Struthio camelus: one gene and its partner. The protein of the gene in region 1 interacts with the protein of each later gene in a pairwise test. Links are inferred from orthologs where the notes say so. Each region holds a gene or a part of one and is shown in the gene's direction. Other genes may lie near its edges.

Region 1 (10,899 bases):
TTACATAAAATGCATCAACTGTCTCTGGATCCTTTGCAGCGACAGACATGGGAACAGTAATCTGCATTTACCCATCAGGTGACACTTCTAGTACAGAAACGCAGCCTGTGACATGCACAACATTGCCCATCTCTTTAATCAGATTGCAAACTCCTTTCATTGGTTTAGAAACCAAGCCAAGAGATTTATGAGCTGTAAAAGAGAAAACTCTTTCTCCTATAGGCAGTGGTGGCGCTGTTCAATACCCCAGACTAAACACACTAAAAGCACTGTTAAGTTCTCCTGAAATAAGAACTGGTCAGAGACAACAAGACTTTAGGATGAGCTTTCATTACCAGAGACACTGCTGTGAGGAAAAGCTATTTTTGTGGGCAAAGATACCTAAGTGTATGCAGACCCTTTCAGATGATAGATGCCTAGCGAAAACATTTGACAGACTATGAGGAGCAGCACCAGTTCCAGTTATGCTGGGGAGAATGCTCGTCCCATGGCAGGCAGGGGGTGCTGCTAGTGACTGATCGGCTCCAGGAGGAAGCAGAATTGTGCTTGTGCTCCTTAGGTCACTTTGTGACTCAAACGTCTGCACATGTTTTTTGACTGGTGTGTCCACAGTACACAATTAGACCATTGGTTGAATGAGGTATGAGGAATCACCTGAGCTTTGGTACCATTTCATGTACTTGCTTTTAAAGAGTAACAGCAGAAACAATCACTCAGACCTGCTTTGATCTCCAAACAGACATAGTGACAGCTGCTGTACATAAAACAACTGCAGCAGATCTGAAAGTGGCCTGGTCTAGTCTAGCTGAGCTTCATTAAAATCACAGACCCTTCAGAAACCAACCGTTAAAATAGGTTGCCAGCAAGTTTTTCTTTGTGGTGCTCTTTCCTGGGAGTTGCACTGCTAAGGCTCAGCTTGGTGCACCATCATTTCTTTTCCTTCTGGGGCTGCCTGTGGCTCACTCTGATCTCCATGTGTATGGTCAGTCTCAGCTGGCTCGTGGCCTTTGCCCTCTCTCTGGTTCTAGCCCCACTTGAAGTTGATGCTCCTTTGGCAGTAAATGCCAGCAGCCCTCAGCCATGTGCCTTTCGCTCTAAGGCTGGATTCCTGCTCAGAAGACTTTTTTGAAGTTCTTCCTCACTAGCTTCTGTGATAGGTATCTTATCTAACTAGTCAGGGCTGCTCTGTAATATCTGTCCCAAAGCTTACTGCCAACCAGCAGCTGTCAGCACTGTTTCCAGCACTAACCTCTAAAACTGAAATAAACCTTTGTACATATGTAATTGTGAGCCTGAGGTAGCTTGAGTTGAAGAATTTCTTACTCGAAACTAATGAGGCAAAGACATGCTATATGCTAGGCACATGATACTGTCCTATATGTACTACTGCCTTAAGGGCAACCTTGAAATCACTACAACTAGGGCAGCCCTATCTATTTACCCACTTGCCCCCCAAAAAAGTGCTCACCTGCTTCAATGACTTTGGGATAGTGTACCAGAGCCTTGTAAATGCTAAGTCCTGCCTCTTCTCTGAGCTATCAAAAAAAAAAAAAAAAAAAAAAGGGTGGTAGATCAATGTTGTAAAGGATAATGTGTTCTTCAGATCTTCAGGTACCATTTTCTTTCTTATGTTCTAAGTTTCTAAAACTCTCCAATACCGTACTTCAGAGGGCACCTTCCAGGCGCAGGCCTATTTGCAAGCTCATTGTTGGACTTGACAGTATGGCTAGTATTGAGGAAGCCTTCAGATGACCCCAAGAGACAGTGCAGACTCATCATATAATTTTGGGTAGTTCACCTGAATTTCTAATGATTGCTCTCTGCCAAACAATGCATAATCCATTTCATTTCTCAATGGTTCAGCGCATACCATTAATGGGACGATATTAACTTCATCATAACATCTAGAAATCAAGAATTTTCCATTTATGAGAAAACCTGAAAGTTCTTGCAATTGCAGTCTGATAATCCTACTGGGGAACAACAGCCAACCAGGCATGCATCAAGTTCCATTTCAAGACTCATTCCTTCTGCTTGTAAAGTCATCCAAAGAGTACTTTGAGCTCTGACAGACAAGATCTGAGAAATGCCAGCATGTCTGGTGCTCACGTAATTTATTCTCGGGTGCTGAGTCTTATCCCAGAGAGGCAGATGTTCCCTTCTGCTGACCAGCAAAGACAAAAGCACATAAAGCTGGAGGTTGTGGTATCGTGAAGTACTGCAGTAAGATTTTTTTAGTGCTCAGCAGTCAAAGGCCTGACTTTACTGTCTTCTAAAAATGTAGTAACAGAGATACAACAGTATTTTCCATGGACTCTAAGCTGTCATCTGCAAACCAGAAAATTTGACATTCTCTGATATTGCTCTACCAAGATGATAGCTTTGCAATGACCTGCATGTTTACTGTGTATGCCATAACTTCTTGTGATTCCTATAAGTTTTGTCCTTGGACCGCTTGCTGTTACTATAGTCAGTCTTACTGTCACAGTAAAGGCTCATAACTTTTAAGGTCTCTCAGTGCGACTGTTTCTCTATAATCCTTAGTTCATTTGTTGCATAGTTTGTTCAATGATTTTGCAATTCTAGCATCTGATATAAAAACCTCTTTTGCAGTAGAAATTTTTGCATATATGTTTGGATCAGATGGTTTGCAGTGAATAATCACTTTGGACTGCTTAATTTTGCATATCATGCGCTAAATGGCTATGCACTGCTTAAATTGTTTGCAAATTGCTGGTCTCCTACTTATTTTCTTAATTGCCCAAGTCAAGAATAGTTAAATTTGCTTCCTGATTCTGTGTGGAAGCCAAAAAGCTATGTAATTGCTACTGACCTAAGGATAGAGAATTTTGCATGATTTCCATAATTTTAGCACATTTTGTCAGCTGAATTGCTGGGTCATGCAGCAAATTGTAGAGTCGAACCTCTGTTTATATCTAGCAAATCACTTACAGAATTATCTATTATCTAGCAGTCTGGTCAGATTATTTAGCTATTAAATAAATCCACTTCTCCCCTCCTGCCCAAACTCCCCAAATTTAAGCCATTTAAAGACATATAAATTAGTGCCAAATATAATCTGTAAGGAGTTACTCTAAAGTCTGATTAAAAATGTATGTTCATTTTGAATAGGAACTTTTTACAAGTGTAAGTAATTCAAGCAGTTTATTACTGCCTACAGCCAGCCAGTTACTACACCAGGAGTGACTATACCACATTTTTATAATAATTATATCTCAGTAGACGTCTACATGGATTTACAGTTATTTTATCAGACACATTAGACCTCATTTTCAGGCTCCAGATTTTGTAATCTTTATCTATAGAAACTGTAATGTCCGAACTACAGCAGTGTGAGTCCAGCATCAATATCCACTTCTTGTCAGCACTGAATGGCTCATACCAACTGTTACAGATATTATAAAAGAGCACACTAGACCTCCATTCCAGGTATAAAGTTGCATTAGACATCATCAAATTCACAAAACTCCCATCCTGTCCCCAAAAGGAGGACTGGATTCACTATACAACTTCTCCATATCACTGAAGAAACCACAAGCTATTCTGACAATAATATTTTAGAAAGAGAGAGAAAAAAATAAAGAAAACCACCTTCAAGACATAAGGAGATTTACCTTTATCTATAATTTTTCATACTGTTACACAGTATGAAAAAGTCATATGTAAAACATCCTTCCTGAGTACTACATCCCATGAAAGAACCTCTTTGCTAGCAAAGGAGCTCCCTTGATACATTTTGACAAAATTGGAAGAAGGTCTAAAGGTCAGGTAATTATATCATTAGCTGTGGAAAGGGCCATCTACCAACTTCCCATAATACATACATATCATTATATAGTCTTCTAAAACTGGAGTTGTGACCAACATTTTTGATAAAATAATATATCAATAATCAAGCATCATTTTTGATAAGCCGGCAAGTTTAGTAATATTGATTTGTTGTTGTTGTTGTTGTTGCTGGTATCTAGAATGAGTAGAAAAGAAAATCTCTACATTTTCCAAGTGATACAGTAGGTTTTAGTCATTCATGTTTTTAACCAGAAACTCAATTTTACAGTGGTATTCTACATAATAATAGGCTTTCTCTGTGTACTGCTTAAAATATTTTGAAATTATTTCACATATGTTGATATTTCAGTTTTACTTACAGTTAAGTTTCAGTTACCGCTTTTAGCTATTTTTCTCCAGACAGTTTACTTCTGTGCATTCAGCAACCATTTTAGAAGATCTAGCTTTGTGAGGACTTGCAGTTAAAGGCCATCTTTAAGGATTTGTGCATTGTTGCACTGTTTATTGAATTGAACATTGAGAAGAAGTCAGGAATAGTGTATTCTTAAAAATAAGACATACACACACTTTTGCCCAGTTTGTCTTTGGAGCTGCAAAACTTTTAAATTGTTACCTGTTAGTGGGTTTCCCAGTGATGGTAATCCTTGAGTCCTGATCAAAACATAAGGATAATAACAAGAACAATTGCATTTAAAACGCTGAAGCATAAAGCAGGCGGACAAGGGTAGTACAATGCAAATACATTGCCCCTTGGATGAATCAGCAAAACCTGCAAAAGCATCTATAGAGGACGTTCGGCGGGGACGGAGACGGCACTCAGCGCCCATAGGTGCTGCTAGAGCGGTGGAATCCCTTTGCCCGATATTCTCCTGTCCAATGAGGTGGAATGCTCCGCAGGCACATGGTTTACGCTGCTCAAAATAACTTGGGACCTGCAAACTGACAAACGCTATTGCTCCGGTGGTGACAGGTTGTCCAGCTTCGTACAGCCATCCTCAGAAAAACGAAGGTTAACTTCCTTCGTTGTATGGACTCCTAGCTGTTTCTGTTCCTAAAGACTCGAAGAATTCCCTTGCTTCCGTAACTTTAATCTCACACTTCTGGATAACTGTCATCTCTACTTACTGCCAGGGCTGGGCAGCAACATCTGGAACAATTAAAAAAGGTAATGCCTCAACTTTAGATTGGTCTGTGTTTTGATTTTGTTGCACATGTATAGAGGGGTTTGATGAGCAAGTATATTTTAATGCTAATTATTGCTGATAAGACATATACAGGGAACAAATCATTTTTCAAGTGACTGACAAGTTATGCTGGGGCATGTGTATTACAACGAAAGAGAAACAGTGTTCCGCAGCATTATAAAGGGCTCGAATAGCACTGGTGGTGTTCTCAAAACTCCCTTGGAGCCAGTCTGTCTCCTCCAAAGAGTCAACAGAAGATAGTAACGACCTGAAAAGTTCATTGCCAGACTGTATTTTTCTTCCAGCTTTTTTTTCCCCTCCAAGTTCTGAAATAATTACATTCTGGTATTCACTCTTTAACTAAGATACCATAATTTGAATCTCCCTCTTAAACAAAATCAAGCCTAATTTAACACGACCTGATAGTTAAATACTTTCTATTATTTATTTATTTATTTATTTTGTCATGTAAAATGACCCCGCTGGCTATATTTAGTGCTGGGAGATCTGCTCTCTGGATTAATGTACACAACAGCTGCAGAGACAGTCCTGCTAGAAGGGCATTGCTCTCCCCCTTGAGCTCTCTATCTCCCTTGCTTGCGCGCTCTCTCTCTCCCTCTCTCTCTCTCTCTCTCTGAAAAGTATTTGACTGTCAGTGGCAAATGTTTGGCCCAATATATTGCAGCATTAAGCAGTAATCAGAAGCCCATCTTAAATTTTACAAAATAATACGTCAACAATTTACAAGCGAACAGAGTAGCTCTTGAGTTTACATCAACAGAACTTTATACAAATCATGCTAAAGGCACCGCTTGCTTTATCAGCAGTTTTGTTTTGGTCATGAGGTTTACATTTGTGAAGAAGCTCTAGAGTTTAAGAGTGAAAACAAAATCAGCAACTGTTCATGGAACCATTTCATAAACTTCATCGCTGCTCTTCTCCCTCTTCTACACCTCCTAAAGGTTCATAAGGTCAGGATAATTATTTATTTCCTCTTTTTTCTTCTTTCAGAAAGGGCTAACGGAATTAAAACAACAAGAGGAAGTTTCTAAGTTCTGGTAGCTGAACAGAATTACTTATTTACATATCAGATATCAATTACAGTCAGTTCAGGAGTAAAGTTTTATACTTGCCAGACTATCAAAGGCAGAGAAGCTGAGAGAGAACATGAAGAATACAACCATAACTGCAATCGGACAATGCAATCTAAATCATAGCCTAAATCGCTGGCAAAAAATCCAACCAAACAAACCCTTCCCCCCCGAAAAACAGTATCCTGTTCTATTAACTAGTTTAGTACTTGTTTTCATAAACAGTAATATCCTACAAGGATGGGCAAATTAATTCTGCCTAATTGAAATCCCACTTAAACATCATAATTAGTAAATATGAATCCAGTGTGATTTTTTTTTTTTAATGTTGCAAGGTTCTTATAGGAGACTGAAAAAAAAAAGTGAAAAAAGCAAGAATACCAGAAAAAATACTGTGAGAGTGTGAAAAAAGAGTGAAAGGTGCAATTAGACAAAAAATTTGTACAAAAAATACAAGCCAGATTTCTTTTATGTCTCATTTAAGGCTCAAATTTCCTTTCTCGCTAGGAACCAGTATTTGTATGACAACTGAACCTTGTCTGAAAAATAAAACAGCCCATAGTTTTAAAATTACTGAACCAAAAGATGTGCAAATGCCATTTAGACTACATACCTCCAAAACAGAATGACTGCTTTTCAGGGCTTTTTTTTGCCCAGTTTGTGCTTGCCCCGTCTGGCTATACATGCTATACAAGTTTTCTGGTCTTCAGATACACCTTGGCAATTCCCTTGATATCAGTGCCACTTAGATGCATGGGTCCAACACAGAGAATGTTGCTCGGTGTTTAAGTCATGAAAATGATCATTACAGCACTTTATGCATTATTATAATTTGTCAGTCTAGAGTCAGCATGTACAACATTTTTAAATCACTTTGTAGCCCTTAAAGCTAAGCTGTACCTTCAGTCCTGAACTAAGACCTTCCAGCAGTCCTCAGCCTCATGCATTGTGGATCTCTGCACCGCTCACTCATACAGTTAACAGGAATAGTAGAAATGACCTAGTATAAATCATTTGGGTCACAGTGGAAGTGAATTTGCAGTTTTAACCATGAAAGACTTACAGTGTACTTTGCCTGTATTTGGGCCAGAGTAAAAGAACATTTTTCACTGTTAGTCTTATCTTCCATTGTGGACTTCTGTATGTACACTCAGCACCAAACTGTGGACTTACTCTATGTTTCTGAGTCATTCGTGTAAACTCTTTCTCATAGGGTTAATCCCTGAAGGGAACTGGACTGCAAGCATTACTTAAGTCAATAAAAACTTGTCCTACAGCACTTGTTAGGACAAACTCTGAGTGTGGTACTTCATCTGCGGCTCAGCCTTCACAGGCCAATGGGAAAGGAGGATGAAGGAGCACCCCTGGCACTTCTCAAAGACTGCAGCCATCTGTTCTCTTTTTTGACCTTCTAGTTTAAAAATCAGGCTAAAATTATTTTAATTTCAATTTGACCTTATCTGCATTTTCTTAAAGATATTGCTTACCTTGTAGTTCAAGAAGAGTCACTGAGGAGGAAAAGAATTTGAGGCAAGGGTGAGAAAGGGTCTAAGTTCTCATTTTGAGCGCTACTAAGGGACAATATTAAACATGAAAAAATAAATACTTTTTTGTGATCAGATTAAAAGAACACAAAGGTCTTTCTATTATATGACAGTATGAAGGAACTGTTTAAAAAGATGAAGAGATTTGAGCATGCTTTTTCCTTGAAGAAGAGTTAAATATTTCACACCGCTTAGGATGCCTCCGTACTGTAACTTTGAGGTCACAGGCCAGGTGAGTAAGTATTCAAGGGCATGACTCCAGTGAGCATATGCTCACTAGAGCGTCTTCTGTGGAGTGATATGGAGAGGAGATTTATCCCATCCCATTTCTGAGAGGATAAAGTTCAACTCTTTTATTTTTTCTTTTGTGGGCTGTGTGATTATGCTGTCAGTGGGAAAAGGAAGAGACATTAGGGACAAAAATACAGTGGTAACGAAGGAGAACACATTCCACCTCTCACATCTCTAGCGCTAGAAGTTTCTTGCAAAATAGGTGCTTTTACCTTTTGGGTCATCTTCAATGCCTATGGATAAAATGGCAAATGCTTCCAAACAAGAGGAAAAGAATTGTAGAAGAAACCAGTACCACTCAAAAAAGCAGTCTAGATGGATCCTCTGCTACAGAAATATAGACTCTTTTAGATAGTCTGAGCTTCAAATCATTTGCTTGCGGTTTGATATTATTTACATCATGTTCATAAAGTATTCACATGCTAAATATAGCTCTGTAAATTATAATTATTTATTATTTGGCATTATATTGTTTAACTATATATAGATAATTCTATATTCCATTTGTCATGACAACCCAGGTAGGAATTTAGGTGTAAAGGGAGTTTAGAAGTAATTTTACCAGTTAAGGCCCCATTCCATAGTCACAAGTAATCAGAAGACATGAGGCATCATCCAACTCCCAAATCATTAAAGATTTATTTAAAAATAATGAAATTTCCCCAAATTCCAAATATTGGATGTTTTATATTTACCTTTTTCCTTTTTTATTCCCTTTAGCTCCCTATCAGCTTTAATGCTCATGGCTGTAGAGGAAAAGTTTTTGCGTTTTACTTGAAACTGCTTAAAAATTTAACTGTTTGGCATTTACAAACAGATGGGCTGGGAGGTGAGGGAGAGTGATTCACAGCTACTCCAAGTAAATCCAGGGCAGTGTAAATAAAGTTACTCCAGATTTATACTGCAATGAAGCTCAGGGCACAAGCTGAGCTATTAGAGGTTATATTTACAGAAGAGGGCCTCATTCTACTTATCTGAACAGAAGCAGCAGTAGCCATACATCAGTTATAACTACAGTTAAGAAATCTCTTGAACAGTATTTACATTCAAGCCAATGGCAGCAGTATGTGAAGATACTTAAAAGACCCCTACCCATCTCTTCACTATTTACAAAATTATATAACAGTGGGCAAGATACAACTACTAGCCTCTTCTAAACTTGCAATCAAATTTATTTATTTATTCCAGATCAGTTTTAAGGAATTTATAAAAAGGATTCGAGACTAGAGAAAATATTTAGAATATTAAAAAGTTGATATTGAAAAAATACACATGACGAAACAGAACGTCTCCTAAACACGGACATAATCTTTAGCCTACTTGTTCTTAGGGGAGTATTGTTTCCATCCGATGCTGTTACACTCCTGGGCTTGGAGGATCCCTCTTTAAATTCCATTGTTTAATTACATTACTTGGAAATGAAAGTTTAGTTACCTGACTTTCTGATTCATTACAAGAAGTGGAATTCAAAAGTACTAATATGTTTAAAACAAAAAAGTAAATCACTTTCTTTTAAGTAGCTTTCTAAAAACAGTTATTAAAAATATTTTACCCCCCCTGCCCCAAACACACACAAGACAGCTAACCTTAGTCCTCTGCTCCAGCCTACCCTTTCATTTGCCTGGAGTCTCAAAGTCTGTCTTACAGCAGCTATTGCATGTCAACTGGCAGTAACCGGAAACGATGACAGCGGTAACCGCTAAGTGAGAATTCCTGCAAGCACAGAAGAATGTGATTGTGATCTTTAAATGTCTGGAAGACAGATCACTTGTGTCATCTCTTAGCTTGATTTTCATAGCTGTTATCGTACAGTTGAAACACCCATACGATTGTTAGTGTTCAATAGTGTACAGGTAAATGGAATTTATTTGCAATTAAAGTAATTGGAAAAGGATATAGCCTGAATATTGGCCATACCCTCCAGTTTCCAAATAGAGGTGCTGGACATCCAGGTCCAGAGCCTCATTGTGTAAAGCCCACAAAGGTGCCACTATGCAAAGAAAGAAGCAGCTTTGCTCAATGTTCTGATACTCGGGTTTCACAGAAAAACAGTCTCATATGAAACTTATGGTATCTCGAAAAGCCAGACAGGAACACATGTATTGACTAAATTATTCATTTTTAAATCCAACTCAAGGCCAAATAAAGTGTTTAAATGCTTCATCTGCAGCTAACCTCTTTATTACAGTTAAGTGGAGGAGTGTTTGTCTGAAAAAAACTGTCTTTAGGCCATTAAGCATTCAAAGCGATCTCTCATCAACCAAAACAGATGACCTGCACTCAGACATATCCAGGAATCCCTTCAGCTTTGCTGAGATTTGACTATTGCTGTTTTCTTAGGAAAAGCGCAGATTCTTTCAGTAACGACTCAGCAGCAGGTCTAACAAGCCTCATGCGACAGGGAATAAAAGGGTACATCGAGTCTCCCAGCACAAGCTTCCACAAAATGATTTTTAGGTCAACCCGTTGCCAAAACAAACTGTGGAAGCTAATTTTATGTGTATTTTTATGTGTATTTTATCCTAAAGATCACTTTGTTAATAAAATACAGGCACAGCATGCTTGTGCAGCTAGCTGGCTAACGGAAACTAGCTCAACAGCCTGAAGAAGTAAGTGCAGTCAGTCTTGTTTGTGACACCTTCTGATGCTTCTTAATAATAATAGGTGCCCAAAGTCACTGCTGCTAGTGTCCTGGTTGACAGGGAGAGCAAAAAAATGTTGCCCTCAATGCACTAGCTGTTTGATATTGTAGGTAATATGAATCAGTCAGGGAGGGAGAACTGTTGACTGCTGGAGTCATCCCATTTTCAATTCTAAATGACAGCAGTTTAGAGGCATTATTTGCAATTCCCTCCCTTGGTACTGGTTCATTAAGACAGAGATTTTTCAGTCTGCAAAATTCTTGGTGCTTTCATTGACAGCACAGAGTGCTATTTAGTGTGTCTTTCCCGGAGTTTGTCTTTCTTACTGCTTGCTCCT
Region 2 (10,612 bases), about 18 Mb from region 1:
GACTTAAATGACAGTAGAAACCCTGGAGAGAATTCAGAGAACATTGCAAAAGTGATATCAAGGCTGAAGCACAAGCCTTTGGCTGTGATGCTCTCCAGAGACAGAGATGTTAGTTGGCCACTGCCCCTGAGCAGCATTGAAGGGAAACGTGCCATCTTCGCTGAGTGGAACTGGAGTGGGCAGTCGCAAGCGACCATTGCCCCCTCAAAAGCAGCCCACGGCCTCTGGCCCCACTGCCAGATGGAGCTGTCCTGTATCTCCTGAGCTACTGGTTGTGCTGCATCAGTGGAGAGGAGGACAGCCAGGACCTGGGGCTTTTTCTGCATCAACAAAGAACAGCCCTGTCAATGCTAGGCAGCATTTCAGGCAGCTGTTTGTATCACACAGCATTCCCTTACATGTACATAGCCAAAAGGCACTATGCTATCGGGATGGAAGGAGTACTTCAAACTTTCAGGTGAGGGCGGAGCAAGATTTAGTAACTGGAGGCTTTAAGTTAGACAGCATGAAATTTGAAATAAAACAGCAAAGGAAAGTTAAAAAATTGTCACATCTTATCTGGAGCGCGGCTAGACTCACCCTTGCTGCCAGTTCAAAGCACCGGATATGCTTTACTGCTGCGCAGTTGGCCAGGGTAGGTGCCTGTTGGATTACGTTAGATTATGACTCAAATAATCAGGATTATGCAGGCATGCTCTCAATGTAAGGTTAATAACTTCTTTAGTTTCTTCTATAGTTTAAAGACCTTTCCATTTCTAAAGGGCTTAGGGGTGTTTGTAAGTGTGAACGGCAGAAACCTTTTACACAACTCCATATCTGTACATCAAGCCTTTTTGCAACTGCTGAGGGAATACTGTATTTACTTGAATACACAAAAAAGTAGTCAGAGGTTACATGAACAGAACATTGTCATAGGTGAGATGGATAAGCGGGGCCTTGAACTAGGCTGCTGGCTACGGAGGCCAAGCGGCCAGCGGATAAACCCATCTGACCACAGGCAACAACCGTTCTGGTGTGTTTGACTGCACTTGCTTCCTAACCGAGAACACGTAAGGTGAATTAGTGAGATTCACATGCAGCAGATGAATGTCATCATGATAAAACTCAAGGCCTGTGATGCATTTAAATCCTTTGGTTTTGAATATAAATCACTACTTTTTCTATTATGTGAAAACCCTAACTCTAATGACATTTGAGGTGGGTTTTTTTAGCCCTACAGTAAGTGATGCAACTATCAACTCACTGCTATTTTGGGTTTTGACACTGGAGGACTGTTCTGTTCAGACTAAAAACCTGCCAGACTATGAGACTTCCGTGTTTCTTTTATAACAGATGATCTGAACAAATGGAATCTATAGCCACATCCTTCTGTTAGTTTAATAATTTCTTATATTCTAATTTTGCAGTTAACACTAACTTTACATTCTTAAGTGAAGCAGGTTTTTTTTTTCCCCTCCCCTTGTAAGGGGACAACGTATTTCTCTGTAGCAGCTTTATACACAAAAATATTGCTGAGAAGTCTCTGGGCTGTTTTAAGCAGATAATGTAATAATTCCCTGTTCACTTTAGAAAAAAACAGACAGACATATATATCAATGTGTTGAACAAGCTAGGGCATGAGTGACATAATTTGCATATTATATTTAGCTCCTACCAAAACTGCTTTGTGACAATAAATATCAAATAGTTTATCTGTTAGGCAAATAAAAATGCTTCCTGCCTCTTAGGGGAAAAGAAAGAGTTAAAAAAGAAGAAGAAAAAAAATATAGTTCCTGCAATGTACTATGATTTACTGCTCTGTTGGGTGCACATATACGTTAGATACGCTGGATGCTCATACATATAAAAAAATAAACAAGCCATTAAACACTGACAGATCCCAAATCCAGAAGGAAATAAGCTCTGGGTTACTGTTTCTCAGGTGTACCTTAGTTATGCAATTAGCCCTGACTGCACACTCATGGAACATAGTTTGCTGGATTAATACCCTCTTAAGTGCATAATCACTTCTCAGCAACTGATTTTTTCACACCTTTACTTATTTAGCAGCAGGAGATGGACAGAGACAGCCAGGCACAAAGGCATTGCAAAGGGCAACATCTTCCAAGGCAAGGACAGAGCCAAGGGCAGTGTTCTGGAAAATGTAAGATAGCCAAGTAAGGCAATGACAGCACTGAAAATATGCTGGTAATACACTTCCCAAGAGGTGGCAATATCACTTGTACCAAACCTAATGCTTTCACTCTACCATTAACCTCTTTTAAAATTAATTTTAAAAAATTCTTTGCACTATTCAAACAACTTCTCTGACAGCAGGGAACAGGGTGTGCCCTATAGTTTTCCCTCTCTCATGCTGAGCCTGCTGGGCTCCTGTTTCTGTCTGTGAAGTCTTTCTGTGACAATACCCGGTTGCCTTGCCTCTTGCAGATCTTTGCTCTGCCCTGCTGGCCACTGTTCTTCAGATTCCCGTTACACATCTCCCACTGACCATCTCCTATTACTAACTTAACAGAGATATGAGAAATCACTTGTTGAAAGGTGATTAAGCGGTTACAGTCCAGCATAAGGTTGCCAGCCTTCTGCCTCCAATATTAAGCAGTAGCGGTAAGCATCTGAATTAGAGTCTTAGCTGATACGAATGTGTATACTTCTACTGATTTCAGTAGGGTTGCCTTGCTTTACATGACATTTAGCTCAAAAGCACTTACCCACTAGGTTAATTTAGACTCCAGCCCTTGGTTAAAGGAGGTTTCTGTGTGCCACCCTTTGCTGTACTCAGCATTATCAAGGAAGATTCTTTTTTATTCCTTGTTATTCTCTTTAGCCTCTTTATGCTTTAAAGAAAGTTATTGAATGTGGCTGTTTTCTTTGGTAGCGCTGTGAGGAACCTGTACCACAAAAGTGGGCTTGTGTTTCCCCTCGGAGCGCTGAGGTCTACTGTAAAGCTAGTCTAGGTTTGATTTATGAAGCACTTGCACAGAAAGCTCTCTCCACTTAAACCTTCTAGTCTATGTTTTGCTGAGTCCATTTTATCTGTCTGGCTGTGGAAAAAGAAAAAAAATGGAAAGCATAAAAAAGGAAAAGTAAGGTTCAAATATAACGAGGCCTGAGGTAGTTCACAGCTTCTTAAACAGTTTTTGCTCTTCAGGCAAACTGCTAACCAGCCCTACACCTCCCTTCCCACGTCAGCTCTCTGCTGTAACCTGTTTCCCTGAAATGAGAAGAGGTCTTTGCAGCCTTTCTATTACGACTGTGGATGTCAAGACAATTTCCCAGATAAGAGAAGAGCCATAGAATGAAACAGGCTGAAATCACCTGTTACAGCACATTTGCAAACATGAAAAAGCCAAACAGAGCGGCCTCTTACCACAGCAACATACAGCAGGGGTACAAAACTGCTGCGAAAAAAAATCCTAAAGTGTGATTCAGGACATACCACTGCAGGGGAGTGATATCCTGGCTGTACTTAGGTTTGGAAAAAAATGTTCTGAAAGGTTCTCTTGCTGCCACATACTCTATTTTAGTTCTGGGGCTCATTCTGTAATGTCATATATATTCTGAGTAGTAAAGGAACCACCTGATGTCCAGCTCCATTTCAGGGAAAGGGAGGTCATAGGTACGATGGGGACTAGAAGACAAGTTTGGATGTACTCAAATTACTGGGAGATCAGAAGAGTAGAGACACCTTGAAAGGTCAGTATCAGAAACACAGCCTGTTAATGATGCTAATGATATAAACAACACCCAATATATTTAGGACTCGATTTGGTGAAGCACTTAAGTGCATATTGTACTTTAAGCACCTGAGTAGTTGCACTGATTTCAACCAAGTGACTTGAACACCTAAAGCAAGGCCTATGCTCACCACATAGAAGTGCTAAGCACGGGATAATGACAGAACTGATTTTCTTGGCATTTATCCACACTCTCTAAATGCACAGATTAGTGGATCTTCCTTTTATAAAATTGCCTTTTGCTGGTGTTCATCAGCCTGCTCTCAAGCTATTCTGTTTTGTGGCACAAGAAAATCTTGCCCCTCTAATTTCTTCCAAAGGACTCAAAAATCTCTTTTCGCTCAAAACTAACCCAACATTTCTATGTATCTGCCTCTACCCAGTCTCATCACCAAAAGTGAAGAGGTCACATTTGTGCCCCTATTCTCTCACATTCAAAAGGAAAATATTACCTGAGAAAACAATCCAACTTTTACTTTTTTGGCATAATAGGCTTAATTTATTATTCTGCTTATAATTACTGACAACGTCCCAGAAAAATGCAAAGCTTACTGTTTTGAGACCTTTCACTGATTGTAACTTATCATGTCATAGGCCCTTTTAGCACCAGAGACATCATTCTGGCTCAGTAATCCCTTCAGAGAATTCCTTCCAACAAATATAGGAGAGTGCCATCATGATGAGAAAAATCCTTTCCCCTAACACTGTTTACCATCCAAGAATAAACAGCAATGAAAAGAATGGCTTCCCAAAACTTAAGGGGGTCCTCATCCACTTATCAGGAAAACATTGCTACAAGTATCGCACATAAGCAACTTACCCTTTCCAGTGGATTCCAGTCAGCTGAAAGTCGGTTTGAAAAAAAAAAAAGAAAAGAAAAGAAAAAGAAAAGCCGTCGTAACGCTGTATCAACAGACAGCTGTCCTAGTGGGCACCGGGGACACAGCATGACTAGCATTGCTGAGCCGTTCAGTCACTGCCGAAGGAACGATGATCTCACATTTCGTTCCGATTCACACATGCGGGGCAGTGAGACAGAGAGACTGGACCGTCCCCCCCGGTTGAGGTCCCCCCCCCCCTCCTCGGGACACCAGAGCTGGCTAGTTAACATGTCTGGAATGAGTGTGAACCTACCTCCTAGCTGGCAAACCCCAGCGGCATACTTGGATTCCCAGGTTGGAAGATTATCTCATTCACGCAAAGTTCTCCCAAAGATATATAAGCAAAGCCAGGGTGGTGGCCCCTGCAGAGCTTACTTGAGCCCTTGGGAGCTTCATCCACGCAGGAGTACAACCTCAACCACTGGCAGATATGATGATGATGCAAGTTGAAGAGCTGGTAGGTACAACCTTCTTTCATTTATTCATAGTTATTTTTCCTCCTGAACTGTTGTACCAGTCAGAAAGAGACAACCTTTGTGGATTGTTGAGGTGATTCAGAGGGTGACCATTAATGCTGTGCTTTAGGTATAAAAATTGTGTATGTTATCCTAACATATTCTCACTTTAACCTTGTCTTGGGAAGGGAACTCACCACTGATACCACTACACAGCTGCATGGGTTTCGCATCACCAGATATTTCACCAGGATGAACAGACTGATCAAAAATTAGCTGTGTATTTTCTTTTGACCTTGATTTTGACTTTTTTAAAAGCTATTATGTTTATGATCACTCAGATAATTCCAGTCCAGTAAGGGATTAGGAGAAGGTCTCAATACAGGGAAACCAAACCTTTTCTTTTTTAATCCAACATTAAGCATTACTAACAGCTCTTGCACTTGCTACTTTTCTCGGTGTAAAAAGCCTTTGAAAAATAACATCTAAACCAAACCACAAGTAATGGGACCAAAGGGACTCCATTGCAGAGTTCAGACAAATTATTCTTGATTTGACCAATAAAGAGGGACAATCCACTACAACATTGGAATATTATAAGGAAACTCCTTTTCCTTCCAGATGGGTAAATTAAGATGAAACTACCATAAAGCCTAACTAGTTAATGCTGTCTTAAATTCTTGGGCAAGGCTCTGCCTTTTCTTCTAGCGTTAAACTCTTTTGGCAAGGCCCTGCCAATTTCTCTAGTGTTAAACTCTGTGACAAACATAATTTTACAAGGGTGATTGAATGAAAAGCCAGTCCATATCAGATGAATTTACTGAGCTACTCTCAAAATATACCACACCCTCCACTAAGTTTAACATGTGATCTCTTTGGACACACTTCATCAAGCATATCTCCAAAAACTATTCAAAACTGTCAGCAAAAACAATCAAGCATCCCACAGCTTGTTCACAGGAACCACCTTATGCTATCTTGCTAAGTGCTATAAATGGGGACTTTGGTATTGACAGCAATGGGTAAGATCAGCCTTGAAATTACTCAGCAACCTTATTTAATTGCACTGTGTGTTTCACTCTAAGTGTAAGGTCCCAAGGGAGACGGCCTCTCCTCTCACTCTGCTTGCTCACGGGGCACTGCTCAGGGTGGCTCTTCCCACCAGCGCCTTTTACCTCCATAGATCTTGACCAAACCCTTGAGAGGCCAACGGGGGGGGGGGGGGGGGGGGGAAGGGTGGCTCTGTGGAGGTGGAAGAGCTCCCTGCAAGTGAGATTGCTCTAGCTGCTCACATGCACAGTTAACCCAGGCACAGGCTGAGTGAGGTCTGCACTCTGTCTATCACACACTCCTAGAGCAGGACACTTTAAAAAATGACATGCAGTTAGCTCCTAGGTAATCCATGTTCCCAGGAGCTGGCTGCTTCAGTCATGAAACTGCTGCTTATATTATATTGCATTTGCTTTTGCAGGTAACTGGGAAGAGAACTGATGATAAAGAGACTGGCAGTTTCCTCCCCGAGGACTTCAAAAATGGAGAGTATGAAGCTGCTGTAAGGTTAGAGAAGCAGGAGGATCTAAAGACAGTCTCTGAACATGTACTGACCCGAGGAGATCTGGCCTATCAGAAAGAGAAAAAGCTAGAGGCAGAGGTAAGCTCTTAAGGTTTGTGCTCAATTTTTGACATCCTGTACACACCTTGCTCAGTGCCCTCGGAGTCTTGTCTCTTTCTAATTAAGAAATACATGCCTTGCGAGCTAGCTAAACAAACCCTTGGGAGATTGCTACCAAACGAGTACTTGGTCTGACGCCCATCGAAGGCAGAGCTGGACCTGCTGGCTCTCATAGGCGATGGCTCCAGGCAGTAGCCACAACTCCCCAGTAAAGTCTGCCCCAAACCCTGTGGGCTCTCTCCTGCCCAGTCCCCTCTGCTAACTCTCAGTAAGGGGGAACAAACATAAACTAAGATACCTTCAGCTGGGCACACCTAATGACTGCCACCAAATATAACTAAAGCAAGAAAGCTTTCACAAATTGGCACTGCTTTGCTTTCCACCAAGGATGTGAGAGTGCACTTCTGAAGCCAGAAGCCCTACCTACCATACAAATATTCTTTTTATGAAAACTCTGCAGTGTGCTTACTAGCACATTTGGAAAAATAAATAAATACAAATGAAAGTGATATCGATCTACAGAAAAGTTCCATTTTGTATTTCTGTAGCATGACAATTCCTCCCATACCCCCCCAAACTGATTCTTTTTTCCCAAAATACAGTAGCTGTAACATTTTACATTCTTGGCCTCAGAACTTAGAGCAATACGGGAATGAAGAAGTTGAACTAGCAGGGAGAATAAGGCTTTGGTCTGAAAGAGAAGGATGAAAAAGTGAGCTTCCAAAATATTATGTGAAATAAATACAACTACTGGCCTTCACCTTCCACCTGGAGGTCATTACTTGCTACAGTTCCTCTATCCAAAACAACCACCTTGTCCTAACAGTTCTTGGAATTTCCCGTTGATCGAAAGCCCATCCAAGCCAACAGAATATTTTCCACTAACTCAATGATCTTAATGCAGTGAACAGTAAAAAAGGAGAGGTCAAAATTACTTGAATAAGAATTCAGTTGAAAGAAATCTATTATATGGCAGGGCTTCACCAGTGTATTTACCCTTAAAGATACCACGGGGCAGAATTTGTCACTTGTCTTCGCCCTGAGTTACCCTTCTGCGAGTCACCCTTCTGAAGTCATGGACACAAGGACCCTCATAGTATTTGAGATCCTGGCCCTTAATTCAGGCAACACATTTGTGCCTGGTGTTAGCAGAGCCCCATACTGACCTCATGCAGTGATCCTTTTTTCAAGTAGGCTTGAAGAAGTCTTAAACGTGTACTGAACTGCCTTCTCAAGGATACCGGAGACAACCTTTGTAGCTTACCAAAATGTAACATTTCCTGAATGAAATGCTAAAATCAGTATAAACCTTGCAATTCACTTAATGGTATATTTTTCATCAAAGAGGATTAAGTTAAAATAAATCAAGCAGCCTACATCCTAAAAGTAGATGCTGGGTAGAAGTCAGTAAAAACTGCAGGGGCTTTCCAGCCCTTATAAGTTAACCATGAGATTTCTTAAATTGTTGAGCCAGAAGGGACTGTGGGGCTGCTCCAACTCCTAGCATAACGCAGAAAAGCTATGCTATCCCCCAACATATGGCTGAGGAGAGAGACAGCATTTAGAAAGGGGGCCAAGGGCGTATGATGATGTAGATTTTCTCACACCCCTAGTAATGTATTATAATGGTTAATTAGCCCTAGTTGTTTAAAAAAAAAAAAAAAAAAAGGCAACTTAGTTCAAAGCTCATGCAGTCTTAACCTAGCCGAACTCCGCTGAAGAACAGCGCACCCTGTCCTACCCCTCTGAAAGGCAGAGAGGTTTACGCTGCAGCTCAGCTTGCTGCCTTCCCTGCTCTGTTTCAGCTCAAGAAGAAAAAATTACAGGAGAGGTCAAAACTTGAAAACTTGGAGGATCTTGAAAAAATTATTCAGCTGAAGAAGAAGAAAAAATGCAAGAAAGAGAAAGCACCTATTTTAAAGGAACCTGAACCAGAAGTTATTGTAAGTCCTATTACGAAGTGTTTTCTTCTGTGAAAGGACCGATGGGGTTTTGCACTATTGCAGAGCTGCCACACGCGTTTACGTGCTGTGTATGTCTCTCCACCAGACAGGACCAGTGGATATACCCACGTTCTTTACTGCTGCACTGGAGAACAAGTTGCCAGTAATTGAAAAATATTTGTCAGACAAAGGGGATCCAGACGTCTCTGATGAGGTACCATATCTCTTCTTACTTCAAAGCCTGCTACAGAAGAGAGATTATTAGTGAGCAAAAATAACTATTACCACTAGGTTTTGTGGCTTCCATACTTTTGAGGTGAAGAAAAGGGGGAGGGGTGAGAAAGCAAACATCAGGAGTTGGACATACTACATTTTCCTGTGTCAAAGGGACCACTTCAAAGTAACGTTACAGCTAAAGAATCTTTATATTTAAAAGAAATATCCTGGGGACTGGAAGACCCTGCCTCCTGTACCAGGTGATCTTCCAGTGCCGCAGAGGGTCAGATAAGGATTTTTTTTTCTGCAGAACTACAAAAAAGTGATGCTGCCTGCTCTCATTCTCCATAACACACAGGCTGCATTTGCAAAATGCAGCATAGTATGTTGAATGGAGGAATTCAACAGGCACCATTTTAAATTTCAGTGTCATACTGCAGATATTCCTCATGCCCTTTAAAATGCTAGGGCAGGCAGCTCTCTGTTATTAGGATGCTATTAAAATTTAGCAGATTTCAGGTCTCAAAAGCATTAGCTCTGGAAAATGAATCCGCATAAAGCATGTGTGTTTGCCATCACCCCAGGTAGGCAGGGAGACAAGATTTAAAGAGATCTCTTTGTGCCACATTTAATATCTGACTTTGCACTGTTTTAATTGACAGTACAAACGCACTGCATTGCACAGGGCATGCTCTGAAGGACATCTAGAGGTGGTGAAAAAGTTAGTGGAAGCCGGAGCCCAGCTTGAACTGCAGGATATGGTATGCACATCAACTCACGTTCATTTCAAAAAATTGCTCATTGTTTCCTAACTCTGACAAAAGACACACACAACAGCGAAGAACAGCAAAAGGCCTCTGTTAATTAAAGTGTCTTGTAAGTTTATCCTTAAAAGAACACTGCTGAGGAGAGGTTTCAAGAGGGGGTGTCTGCCTCACTTTCCCAAAACGGTTGCTGGAAAACACAGGAAGCGGAGGAGCATATCGGCCAGTAGACTGCCACAAACAACAGAGCCTAAAGAAGGATAAGAAAGCTGAGGTCAGGCTACCACTTCAGACTGCTAGCAGGTGGTGGAGATACCACTGTCCCACGCCTTTATCAAGGGCTCAGCGCAATATATACGTTCTCCCTCAGGATTTCAACACTGAGCTCAGGAGAGACCTCTGCTCCTCTGGAATGCTGGCCATGGGGGTAGCTGAGTATGAACAGCTTTTGCAGCTGTTTTCTTGCTTCTCCGTTCCCAGCATTTTGTGCCTTTACTACACAGTTGGAATCAGCCAACCTCTTTCCCCCTCGCTTAGCCCTGCAGTGATTGTGGGTAGCGTAAGAAACATGAGGAATGACCAGCAGAGCAAGATCTGCAAGGGAAATTCCACCCCTTGCAACAGAGCTTAGTGGAGAGAAATCAAATACTGCAGAGGTGAAGTGCTCCAACTCACTTCGGGAGCCTCCGAGAGTTTGAAAGAGAGAACTATTCTTTCCCTTGATCGTCATGTTCTGTGTGCTTTGGAATCCAAAAGGCATCAAATAAAAATAAAAAATATGAAATAGCACACATCAGCCATAAAAATCATACCTGGCTCTCCAAAGATAACTTCTAGGTTCACAGAATGGCTGACAAAACATATCCCTTCTCACAGCCAAGACTCTGTGTCTTTAAGAGCAATATGCAGTGATTGTAAAGAGTGAGAAACTGGCAGTACTAAAGGAA

Evidence for each region.
Region 2: the proteins of MYPN (region 1) and ANKRD1 interact in a two-hybrid assay, tested with the Homo sapiens proteins (2 studies listed by BioGRID). The link is inferred for Struthio camelus from reciprocal best matches to the Homo sapiens genes MYPN and ANKRD1.

The regions. Positions count from the first base shown.
Region 1 is NC_090948.1:38,655,220-38,666,118, forward strand, and holds the start of MYPN (myopalladin), read left to right. Parts: upstream 1-5,924; 5' UTR 5,925-5,965; intron 5,966-10,899. UniProt on the Homo sapiens protein: Component of the sarcomere that tethers together nebulin (skeletal muscle) and nebulette (cardiac muscle) to alpha-actinin, at the Z lines.
Region 2 is NC_090948.1:20,200,944-20,211,555, forward strand, and holds the start of ANKRD1 (ankyrin repeat domain-containing protein 1), read left to right. Parts: upstream 1-6,317; 5' UTR 6,318-6,472; coding exon 6,473-6,721; intron 6,722-8,547; coding exon 8,548-8,685; intron 8,686-8,791; coding exon 8,792-8,899; intron 8,900-9,563; coding exon 9,564-9,662; intron 9,663-10,612. UniProt on the Homo sapiens protein: May play an important role in endothelial cell activation. May act as a nuclear transcription factor that negatively regulates the expression of cardiac genes. Induction seems to be correlated with apoptotic cell death in hepatoma cells.